Saccharomyces cerevisiae S288C: one gene and its partners. Changing the gene in region 2 together with the main gene of any one other region gives a genetic interaction. Each region holds a gene or a part of one and is shown on either strand. Other genes may lie near its edges.

What was found.
Region 1: mutations in YLR154C-H (region 2) and SRV2 together harm fitness less than expected from each alone (positive genetic interaction), as found in Saccharomyces cerevisiae (one large-scale study listed by BioGRID).
Region 3: mutations in YLR154C-H (region 2) and FAL1 together harm fitness more than expected from each alone (negative genetic interaction), as found in Saccharomyces cerevisiae (one large-scale study listed by BioGRID).

The regions. Positions count from the first base shown.
Region 1 is NC_001146.8:365,080-368,821, reverse strand, and holds SRV2 (adenylate cyclase-binding protein), read right to left. Parts: upstream 2,082-3,742; coding exon 501-2,081; downstream 1-500. Other genes in the region: mitochondrial 37S ribosomal protein uS4m NAM9, read left to right, coding at 1-227; U2 snRNP complex subunit YSF3, read right to left, coding at 2,410-2,664, 2,787-2,789; THO2 (Tho2p), read left to right, coding at 3,105-3,742. UniProt on the Saccharomyces cerevisiae protein: The N-terminal domain binds to adenylyl cyclase, thereby enabling adenylyl cyclase to be activated by upstream regulatory signals, such as Ras. The C-terminal domain is required for normal cellular morphology and growth control.
Region 2 is NC_001144.5:467,268-471,851, reverse strand, and holds YLR154C-H (uncharacterized protein), read left to right. Parts: upstream 1-2,893; coding exon 2,894-3,025; downstream 3,026-4,584. Other genes in the region: asparaginase ASP3-1, read left to right, coding at 1,447-2,535.
Region 3 is NC_001136.10:485,105-488,503, reverse strand, and holds FAL1 (ATP-dependent RNA helicase FAL1), read right to left. Parts: upstream 1,701-3,399; coding exon 501-1,700; downstream 1-500. Other genes in the region: ATG31 (Atg31p), read left to right, coding at 1-432; putative uridine kinase DAS2, read left to right, coding at 2,060-2,758; GCV1 (glycine decarboxylase subunit T), read left to right, coding at 3,139-3,399. UniProt on the Saccharomyces cerevisiae protein: ATP-dependent RNA helicase involved in 40S ribosomal subunit biogenesis. Required for the processing and cleavage of 35S pre-rRNA at sites A0, A1, and A2, leading to mature 18S rRNA.

The DNA of each region.
Region 1 (3,742 bases), on a different chromosome or scaffold from region 2:
ATGGTAGGCAAGATCCTAAAAAACCCTTTTTCACACCATGGAAGCCAAGACCATTTTTATCGCCTTTCGCCATTTTACCTCATCATTTGGAAATATCTTTCAAGACATGCCACGCTGTATACCTAAGGGATCCCGTCGCTCGACCAGGCCAATCCGAAGTAATTTCACCATTTGATGTTCCTGTTCATGAACGTGCATATATGTATTACTTGAGAAATGGTAAATGATCGTCGTGTATTGTTGCACGCGTCTTTTGACTGATCTTCAGCCTCTCTTTACACTGTAAATATTTAATTTTTTTTGTTTTTAAGTTCTACTCGAACGATCAAGTAGTCACTTAGTCGCTCCTCGTTTTCCTGTTACTTCTTTAAGAAAAGGTTACACATGAAAAAAAGGTTTTACAAAAAGTATATAATTGTTTATTCATTCACTTTTCTTTCTGATTGATTCAAATGTGATTTATTTCTTTTAACTAAATACAATTAATGCTCCTCGCAATATTAACCAGCATGTTCGAAAACAGCAGATTTGAACTTACCATCAGCGAAGCTATGCTTCATCTGTTCAGGGATTGGGAATTCTACGTAATCATCGTCCTCGCCGATTGGTAAGTTGACGTTAATAGCAGTTGAGCACGAGGTGTAGATTTCAGTATTCAAGGATTCCTTGGATAAATAGATGTTACCGCCGTCAGATTTATCAATGGAGATTTGAGGTAGGGAATGGTTAACTTGAATGCCAAACTTGTTGGATTTGATGACATCCATACCGGAAATGCTAGAATCAAGAACAACACTGCATGACTCAGTTTCACTCAACGAGATAGCGTTAACTTTTCCTTTTATTTGAACAAGAACTTGAGAACATTTACCTATGAAGATAGACTCATCTTTATTTGCATCAATAACCAGAGATTCAGTTTCATTTTCGTAATTCTCAATAAACCATTTGTTTCCTACCAATTCCTTTCTAGGAGGCCTCTTAGTTTTCAATGTTGATGGCTTTTTTGGCCTTGGTGGTGGACCGGATTTACTTCCTGTGGAAGAAACTGTAGAGGATTGACGTAATTCAGGATTTTTGTGAGTTTGTTGGGATTTGTCTACTTTTTTCAAACCCTTAGTGATATTTTCACCCTGATTTAGTTCGGCGAAGACCGCGCCAATACCGCCTTTGTTAGCATCACTACTCGTTGCTGGTGTATCATTAGAGATTTCAAAGACGGAAGCTGGTGGGGCTGGTGGAGGAGGTGGTGGTGCTGGAGCCGCTGTAGCACTTGCTGGCGAAGGAGATGAAGTAGCACCTGTATTCTTCGTTGATTGTGCCATCGCGTCAGCAAAATCCATACCGTCTTTTTTCCAGGAAACCCCAGTAGTATGATACTCTTTAATGTAGGCTTTCAAATTATCGAAAGAGGCCAAAAATTTCTTAACCCATTCAACAGCATTAGGATCAGACTCTCTGTATTCTTTCAAAATTCTATTAGTCCAAAACTGTGCTGCGTCCTTGAAATCTGTGACCATAGACACGGGAGTGTCCACTGCAACCCAGGAGAACAAAGGAGCACCCTCAGATAAAGCGCTCAAATATGCGAAGTATTTGCTTTGACGGTTTGATTCCTTCAATTGACCCAGCTTTATAATATTTTCGTTGATAGGTCTTAAAGAATCAGCGAAAGTTTGAGAAGAATAATCCGGTTTTCTTGATCTCACAGCAGCTCTTAAAAAAGTCAATTGCGATTGAAAGCCTCCCTTTAGCAACTGCAAAGCATCTAAGACCACCGTGTCGATCTTTCCTGATAATTCTACCAGCGGATCAATATTCTCACCGATGTAAGATTGGAACGCAGTTATGCATTTCGGATCTTGTTCTACTTCAGGAGCATTTTCTGCAGAAGGTTCATTCGTAGTATTCGCATCGGCCCCGGAGTCGGAAGGCTTGTTATTTTTAGATGCCTCCAATTTATTCTGAATATAACCTTCTTGATAGATGGTGACATCCTCTAATCTTGCAGTGGCTTCTTCTAGCCTTTTTAATAGCTTAACAAGGTTATAACCTTGCATTGTGTACTTAGAGTCAGGCATGATTCGATTTCACACGGTTGCAACTTGGCCTACTCAATTACGAAAAGTTTCAAGCTGAGTTTTCCCCTATACTACCAAAAGATTTCACTTCTAAATCCCTGTTTATGACTTCACGCGACATGTATAGATCATTTTAAACGATATGAATTGTATACTGTCCCAACATTTTATATCTTTATATAAACATCAAGGTTAATAATGTTCGACAGTTACTAGAATCAATGCCTAAAAGGTTACTGACTGAGTGTGATCTCTACCATAAATCTTGAGAACGACATACGAGGCGTAATTTTATGTAAAAATTATTTATGGATGTGGCTTCAACGTCCTACCTCTCTTCTCGTAAGTAGGCTTTATAGCCAGGGGACATGGATTTCAGGAGGTGAATACGAGTGTCACGTATACTAAGGTCTCCTCGGCTCAATGAAACGTACTCCAAAGATGCGGAGTGGCCTTGTAATGTATTTAGTGTATCGTTTCTCACATTTCTCTGCCACTGTTCTCGTGTAGTGCTCTCATCTCCCAGTCCGATGTACTTTTGTTTGTATATCTTCTGCAACTTCAACTGCCTCTGCTTTTCCGCCTGTTTTGAGTATTAGCATTACGTATAAGCCGCACGGACTTGCACGATTCATCGCAAGCGTAGTTAGTACCATGGTAAAGATGATTTCAATTCAAACTAAAGCGCAATAGAACGTAACATACCATTTCTTTTCTTAATTTCACTGTTTCGAATTGTGTAATATAACCATTTTAGCCACTATTTACATGTTCTGAATGAGAAGGCTTATGTTCTTCTCTTCTTCCCGGGTGACAACGCTAACTTCGGCGTAAGATTTTCCGCTATTTCTTCAATAGCGACATAACGTATGAGAGTTTATGCCCAGGGAACACGTTGATTTAGAAGCAAACACTGTTGCATAAATTATAGGGCTGTGATTTTATCGTCTTTATCTAAAGCATAATAGGGTGAAACGGTTTCAGTTGATACATATTCGCACCAGTATACATTTTCAGGACTTTATGGCAGAACAGACGCTACTTTCCAAATTGAACGCTCTTTCTCAAAAAGTGATACCACCAGCTTCCCCTAGTCAGGCAAGCATTTTAACGGAAGAGGTGATACGAAACTGGCCTGAACGATCAAAAACTCTCTGCTCCGATTTCACTGCACTGGAGTCAAATGATGAAAAGGAAGACTGGTTGAGGACTTTGTTTATTGAACTGTTTGATTTCATAAATAAAAACGATGAAAATTCTCCCCTCAAGCTTTCTGATGTTGCATCATTTACTAATGAATTAGTGAATCATGAAAGGCAAGTGTCCCAGGCTTCCATAGTTGGTAAAATGTTTATCGCCGTCTCAAGCACTGTTCCAAATATAAATGATCTAACAACCATATCATTATGTAAACTAATACCGTCGTTGCATGAAGAATTGTTCAAATTTAGTTGGATATCCTCTAAGCTGCTCAACAAGGAACAAACCACCTTATTAAGGCATTTGTTAAAAAAGTCAAAATACGAACTGAAGAAATATAACCTTTTGGTAGAAAATTCAGTGGGTTATGGTCAATTGGTAGCCTTATTAATATTGGCGTATTATGATCCCGACAATTTTTCCAAAGTGTCCGCATATTTGAAAGAAATCTATCATATTAT
Region 2 (4,584 bases):
ACTGGTGACGACATGAGCCAAGCTGGAACCAGCAGCTTTCACGTCGGCTTATAGCTCTCTATGGGGCAATCAACCACTCATAGTGACTGAAGATCTTTTTAATATAATTACATTGCTAAAAACGTCATACCGCCTTGTGAGCACGATAAACAGCATATGCATTGAGCCTTGTTATTCTTCGGAACTGGGGATAGTAAAATGCGACCCGCTTAGGATGATCAAGCTATCTTTGGGACGGAGTTTTGTCATGGGAGTGGTCATCCTACTGGTGATGCTTCAACATTTGATTTACTAAATTTTGAAATCGGCCGCAGAATAAAACTATTATGTCCAAACAATTGATGGTCGAACCAACGTTAAGGGTTTCAAGTATTGAATTGAACTTTTATGAGTTCTATAATTTCGTTGCGCAAATTCAACTAAACCACCAATATCCCCCCTACAACGCTACACTTTATACCGATAGAGGAATAACGCATAGAGCCTTCGTAGAATTCTTCAACTCGTACGTGATGGGGATTCTAAACCTATCGTCATGTCGCTGTACAAGGCTGCTGCCTGCTTTCAAATTCCCAATTTTACCATGTCCGTTTCGCTGAGCCGAATCGTCACACAAGGTAATTAGTTCTGGGTATCGCTTCAGTATAGCACTGGTTTTTTCCTTGTAAAACCACAGTCTAACAATTAAATGAAGCTTTTCGAAGAAATTAGACCATGTTAGACTGAAAGCAAAGACTCCGGCCCGTTCTGAGGTAAGTTCAATGAAATTGGACAGTTTCTTTTCAAGGTTAGGTTTTGTGTTCGAAAAAAATAGATTACCGCACCTCCTTTCCAAACCCCATGAGTTTCCATTAAGGAAGAGCAACGTCAATAATACCACCTTTTGCAGATGTGATTCAACTCAAGATGCTGTAATCTTTCCCTTCTGACCCTAGATCACCTCATGATATCCTTTTGAGGCAATTAAAGCTGCAGTGTAAACTGTTGAATATCTTTTTGAAACCAAAAAAAAGGACGTTCCACACTTGGCTGCTTTCTTGATAAGCGAGATCTTTACTTGGAGATCTCGCTTAGTCCTCCGAAGGGTAAACCCCGTCTCTTATCTTTAAAAAAATGTATCAGACCCTTCAGCACGTGACAGACAGCAAACTACCAGTCGACGAGGATGCTTTTCCGAAAGTCATGACACAAGGGAAGGACTGTAAGATCGATATCGGCGCAGTCTTATCGGATGTTCCAAGTCCTTGTCTCTTTCATTATCTGCTTGCTATCGCAAAAAAAAAAAAATCAATTTGTTTAATATCAACACATAATGTACAAGAACAAATCATGACATACAAAAGCCATATAAGATGAGTCTTCAAGCAGCACCAAGAGGCCTGAGGCAGAGCAAATGTTGGCTCGCTATTCTTTTGTAAGCAATCTGGTACTCACCAACCTCCAACTATGAGATCTTTAAATACCCTTTTACTTTCTCTCTTTGTCGCAATGTCCAGTGGTGCTCCACTACTAAAAATTCGTGAAGAGAAGAATTCTTCTTTGCCATCAATCAAAATTTTTGGTACCGGCGGTACTATCGCTTCCAAGGGTTCGACAAGTGCAACAACGGCGGGTTATAGCGTGGGATTAACCGTAAATGATTTAATAGAAGCCGTCCCATCTTTAGCTGAGAAGGCAAATCTGGACTATCTTCAAGTGTCTAACGTTGGTTCAAATTCTTTAAACTATACGCATCTGATCCCATTGTATCACGGTATCTCCGAGGCACTAGCCTCTGATGACTACGCTGGTGCGGTTGTCACTCATGGGACCGACACTATGGAGGAGACAGCTTTCTTCTTAGATTTGACCATAAATTCAGAGAAGCCAGTATGTATCGCAGGCGCTATGCGTCCAGCCACTGCCACGTCTGCTGATGGCCCAATGAATTTATATCAAGCAGTGTCTATTGCTGCTTCTGAGAAATCACTGGGTCGTGGCACGATGATCACTCTAAACGATCGTATTGCCTCTGGGTTTTGGACAACGAAAATGAATGCCAACTCTTTAGATACATTCAGAGCGGATGAACAGGGATATTTAGGTTACTTTTCAAATGATGACGTGGAGTTTTACTACCCACCAGTCAAGCCAAATGGATGGCAATTTTTTGACATTTCCAACCTCACAGACCCTTCGGAAATTCCAGAAGTCATTATTCTGTACTCCTATCAAGGCTTGAATCCTGAGCTAATAGTAAAGGCCGTCAAGGACCTGGGCGCAAAAGGTATCGTGTTGGCGGGTTCTGGAGCTGGTTCCTGGACTGCTACGGGTAGTATTGTAAACGAACAACTTTATGAAGAGTATGGTATACCAATTGTTCACAGCAGAAGAACAGCAGATGGTACAGTTCCTCCAGATGATGCCCCAGAGTACGCCATTGGATCTGGCTACCTAAACCCTCAAAAATCGCGTATTTTGCTACAATTATGTTTGTACTCCGGCTACGGCATGGATCAGATTAGGTCTGTTTTTTCTGGCGTCTACGGTGGTTAAAGCCTGATCAGTGACTTTTCATCACACTGTGTTTTTATATAGTTCTTAGTAGTAAATATACTCTATAATTTCTACATCCTTTTCATGATGTGCCAGTTAAGCTATTTTTAGCAAACAAAAAGATGAATTTGAGTATTGAGCACATCATTCACTGTTCAGCTGATACAAAACATATGATTTCTAATATTCACATAGGAAAAATCGCTCCAAACATCGAAGTATCATCGCTACTTTGGTCTTTTATCTGCTTCTCTTCTCTTCGCTCTTTTCACTGCTCGTGCCGCTGCAACGCTCCAACTCAGTTCTATCTCAGCTCCTTCCCCTTATCCCTTGAGCAGTGTCAAGGCGAGGCTGCGTGATGTATTCGTGCGCGAAAAAAAAAACAACTGCAGCACCTGAGTTTCGCGTATGGTCACCCACTACACTACTCGGTCAGGCTCTTACCAGCTTAACTACAGTTGATCGGACGGGAAACGGTGCTTTCTGGTAGATATGGCCGCAACCGATAGTTTAACGGAAACGCAGGTGATATGAGGGCAGGGTCCAGACATGTTCAGTAGGTGGGAGTGAGAGGTGTTATGGGTGGAGGACAATTTTTATTATATTTCATCTAATAGCAATAGGATATGACAGGTGAAAAAGCAAAAGCAATAGTGCATTGTGATGTGGAGAATAAGGTGCATACGATGAAAAAGGTGATTTGTCATTTACAAGAGGTAGGTCGAAACAGAACATGAAAGTTGGTCGGTAGGTGGCATGCAGAGGTAGTTTCAAGGTGACAGGTTATGAAGATATGGTGCAAAAGACAAATGGATGGTGGCAGGCATAGTAAAATGATGGTGTGGAAGACATAGATGGTATTTGTTTTGCATTTACGGCACCGGATGCGGGCGATAATGACGGGAAGAGATTTAGTATGTGGGACAGAATGTCGGCGGCAGTATTGAGACCATGAGAGTAGCAAACGTAAGTCTAAAGGTTGTTTTATAGTAGTTAGGATGTAGAAAATGTATTCCGATAGGCCATTTTACATTTGGAGGGACGGTTGAAAGTGGACAGAGGAAAAGGTGCGGAAATGGCTGATTTTGATTGTTTATGTTTTGTGTGATGATTTTACATTTTTGCATAGTATTAGGTAGTCAGATGAAAGATGAATAGACATAGGAGTAAGAAAACATAGAATAGTTACCGTTATTGGTAGGAGTGTGGTGGGGTGGTATAGTCCGCATTGGGATGTTACTTTCCTGTTATGGCATGGATTTCCCTTTAGGGTCTCTGAAGCGTATTTCCGTCACCGAAAAAGGCAGAAAAAGGGAAACTGAAGGGAGGATAGTAGTAAAGTTTGAATGGTGGTAGTGTAATGTATGATATCCGTTGGTTTTGGTTTCGGTTGTGAAAAGTTTTTTGGTATGATATTTTGCAAGTAGCATATATTTCTTGTGTGAGAAAGGTATATTTTGTATGTTTTGTATGTTCCCGCGCGTTTCCGTATTTTCCGCTTCCGCTTCCGCAGTAAAAAATAGTGAGGAACTGGGTTACCCGGGGCACCTGTCACTTTGGAAAAAAAATATACGCTAAGATTTTTGGAGAATAGCTTAAATTGAAGTTTTTCTCGGCGAGAAATACGTAGTTAAGGCAGAGCGACAGAGAGGGCAAAAGAAAATAAAAGTAAGATTTTAGTTTGTAATGGGAGGGGGGGTTTAGTCATGGAGTACAAGTGTGAGGAAAAGTAGTTGGGAGGTACTTCATGCGAAAGCAGTTGAAGACAAGTTCGAAAAGAGTTTGGAAACGAATTCGAGTAGGCTTGTCGTTCGTTATGTTTTTGTAAATGGCCTCGTCAAACGGTGGAGAGAGTCGCTAGGTGATCGTCAGATCTGCCTAGTCTCTATACAGCGTGTTTAATTGACATGGGTTGATGCGTATTGAGAGATACAATTTGGGAAGAAATTCCCAGAGTGTGTTTCTTTTGCGTTTAACCTGAACAGTCTCATCGTGGGCATCTTGCGATTCCATTGGTGAGCAGCGAAGGATTTGGTGGATTACTAGCTA
Region 3 (3,399 bases), on a different chromosome or scaffold from region 2:
AAGTACATATTTGAGGACAACAATGATGAACTAGTAGATTCAAGTGATGCTGCTTTGACAGCAGGAATAGATAAGGTCGGAGATGAACTTGAAAATGTCATAATTGTCCAATTGGATGAATCGGGATCTCTTGAGGATATCACACTAATCAGCGACCAATATGAGCTTTTGTCACATAGGACAAATAGTCTCAGCTTGGAGGAAAACCAAATGAGAACATTATCATCACATGGTGATGATAAATCTAATGATGAAGAGGAAGAACTTAGCGTTGACAGTGATAGATTCAGAGTGGACTCGGACATTGAGCTCGATGTAATTTCACAATTTTGCGATCTGTCTCCTTTTCTTCGCGATTTGAGTTTGAATGACTTAATTAAACTCTACGTCACACAAAATGAACAATTACAAATGCTCTCCAATTCCGTATGAAAGCAAAAATGAAGCCGCATGGATGAGACTCTCTTAACTTGTTTATGTAGGTATATGTTCTCTATATTTTATGATAATTCTGCAAAATTTGCTGGCATCGGATTTATTTTGATAGAATAGAATTTTTCAATTTCTCTAAGTTTTGCTAAATCAGCTTTGGTAATGAAGTTTATAGCCACACCCTTTCTACCAAATCGACCACTTCTACCGATACGATGGATGTAATTTTCTATTATTTCTGGTAGGTCATAGTTAATGACTAAAGAAACTTGTTGGACATCAATACCGCGCGCCCAAACATCCGTCGATATCAGTACACGAGAATGACCTGTTCTAAAATCATTCATTACTTTATCTCTTTCTTCTTGTTTCATATCACCATGCATGGAGACTACAGCAAAGTTTGATTGGATTAGCCGCTGAGATAACCAATCTACTTTTTTCTTGGTGTTACAGAATATCACACATTGTGTAATGGTCAAAGAATCGTATATATCACACAGAGTATCGAATTTCCACTCTTCTTTGTCAACATTAACGACATATTGTTTGATACCTTCAAGTGATATTTCATCCCTCTTCACTAGGATTTTAACTGGATCATTCATAAATTTTCTGGTTACTTCTAAAATGTCCTTATTCATTGTTGCGCTGACAACAACAACTTGGCAATTTTTAGGCAATTTTGCAAAAATATCGTATATTTGTTGCTTGAAACCTAGTGTCTCACTCAATAATTCATCAGCCTCATCTAAAACTAACATTTGAACATTTCTTGTTTGCAACATTTGTTTCTTAATCATGTCTAATACTCTTCCTGGTGTTCCGCTAACGGCCTGGCAACCATGCTTTTGCATTTTCTTCAGGTCGTCTTTCAAAGTTTTACCACCTGTAATGGCAAATGCATTGACATTCATATAATCCCCTAGATTTTTTACTACTTGCCCAATTTGGCTTGCTAATTCACGTGTTGGAGATAGTATTAGAGCTTGTAAATCTTTCTTCCTTAAATCAATAGCTTGTAAAAGGCCGATTGTAAAAGTTGCTGTCTTACCTGTACCTGATTGTGCTTGTGCTATAACGTCCTTGCCCGAAATAATCTGTGTAATAGCCCTTGATTGGATAGAGGATGGTGCTTCAAAACCGTATGAGTATATTCCTCGAAGTAAGTCATCTTTTAGATTCATGCTTTCAAAAGTAGAAGACACCTTTAATTTTTTCGATGTTTTAAACTTCAATTTTTGGTCTTCTTCTCTGTCAAACGACATGTCTAATGAGTTTTTTTTTTGTTTCTGTACGGTCTATTTTATTTGAGTGAACAAATTTTTATACCTCTTGAAGGAGTGGTGGCCCTTTTATATTAAAATTTGTGTATAATTCATGTTTTTATTTTGTCTGGGCCCTGCTATTATCTAGCTCATCGCATAAAATAAAATTTTCAAACTTCGGCATAAATTCTCGACACTGATAGAAAAAGCAGATCAAATAGTAAGCAACTATGGATTGTACGCTGCCATCACGGATAATTCAATTTATCTGTACATTTTTCCTAGAGCATACCACAAGGGAAATCGTTTTTAATTTTCGTTTCCTGCATTAACAATTAGCGAGATAAATATTACAGGAAATGGACAGAAAAGCTGTCGAAGAAAAAAGAATTGTTATTTCTATCGGTGGAGGGCATGCTACTGGTGTTGGAGCAATTGCACTGGATTTACAAAATACTTTCAAAAGCCTATATAACTCTATCAATATAAGGGTAATAAACCTAGATAATATGATAGAAGGGAACATCAAGAGCTACAATAATAACGACTATGATTTTGATAATATCCTTAATTTGGTATATGAAAAGCACGCTGTAACTTCTCAAAATGACATGATTCAACATGATTACGAGGACCCGATAGATTTGATAATAGTATGTGGCTGTTATGCGCTATACGATAAACGCATCAACGAAATATCTCAATTAAAAGTATTCTTGGATAGTGATGCAGATAAAAGATTAATTAGTCTAATCAAGAAGAAGAACGTAGGGAGCAATGAACAACTAGCCCAGTTGATCACTGAGTATATGGACCATCTGCGCCCGGAGATGCAACAATATATAGAGCCCACTAGAACTTTTGCAGATTTGATCATTCCTTCTACAAATGAAAATCTAGGGCGCGCAGTCCTCGTGGACGGTATAGTTAAAGCAATCGAAGATACCAAAAGCCAAATAGAAGGCAACAATACGAACAACAAAATACGCCCACGTTTATGGGATTTCGAAGCTGAAACAATGGACTTGGAGAAAGATAGATATTACGATCTGTCATGAGGTCCTTGCCTTCTATATCTGCGCCACTTTTAATCGGCTCGATGCGACTAACATCCGTATTTACCCACACAAGCTTATTGATTTTTTTTTTGCATTCTTGGATCTCGATGGGCGCTTTTACTCCATTAGAACCATGCTCACGGGAAGCTGAGTTCTTACTTAGAGCTGGTCATAGATATCACCTATTTTGTTCATCGCCGTGACTTCTTTCGGCAGGGCGACTCTGCTCAGGAGCCCTGACTCGTGTTGCCTCGAGTAAACGGTATGTCAAAAAGAATAGGTCCAAATATCATATATATAGCACCTTGAACCCAAACAAATCCAATTACAGTACCCGTAGCTCACATATGTAGAAAGAGCTTTGCCTGGCACAAGCAATAATGTCTATAATCAAAAAAATTGTGTTTAAGAGATTCAACTCAACTTTGAAAAAAACTGCTCTTCATGACCTTCATGTGTCATTAGGCGGTACAATGGTACCATACGCAGGATATTCCATGCCCGTACTATACAAGGGACAGACTCATATTGAATCACATAATTGGACCAGGACAAACGCTGGTTTATTTGATGTTTCTCATATGTTACAAAGTAAGTTATCTGGTCCTCATTCTGTTAAGTTTCTGCAACGTGTAACGCCC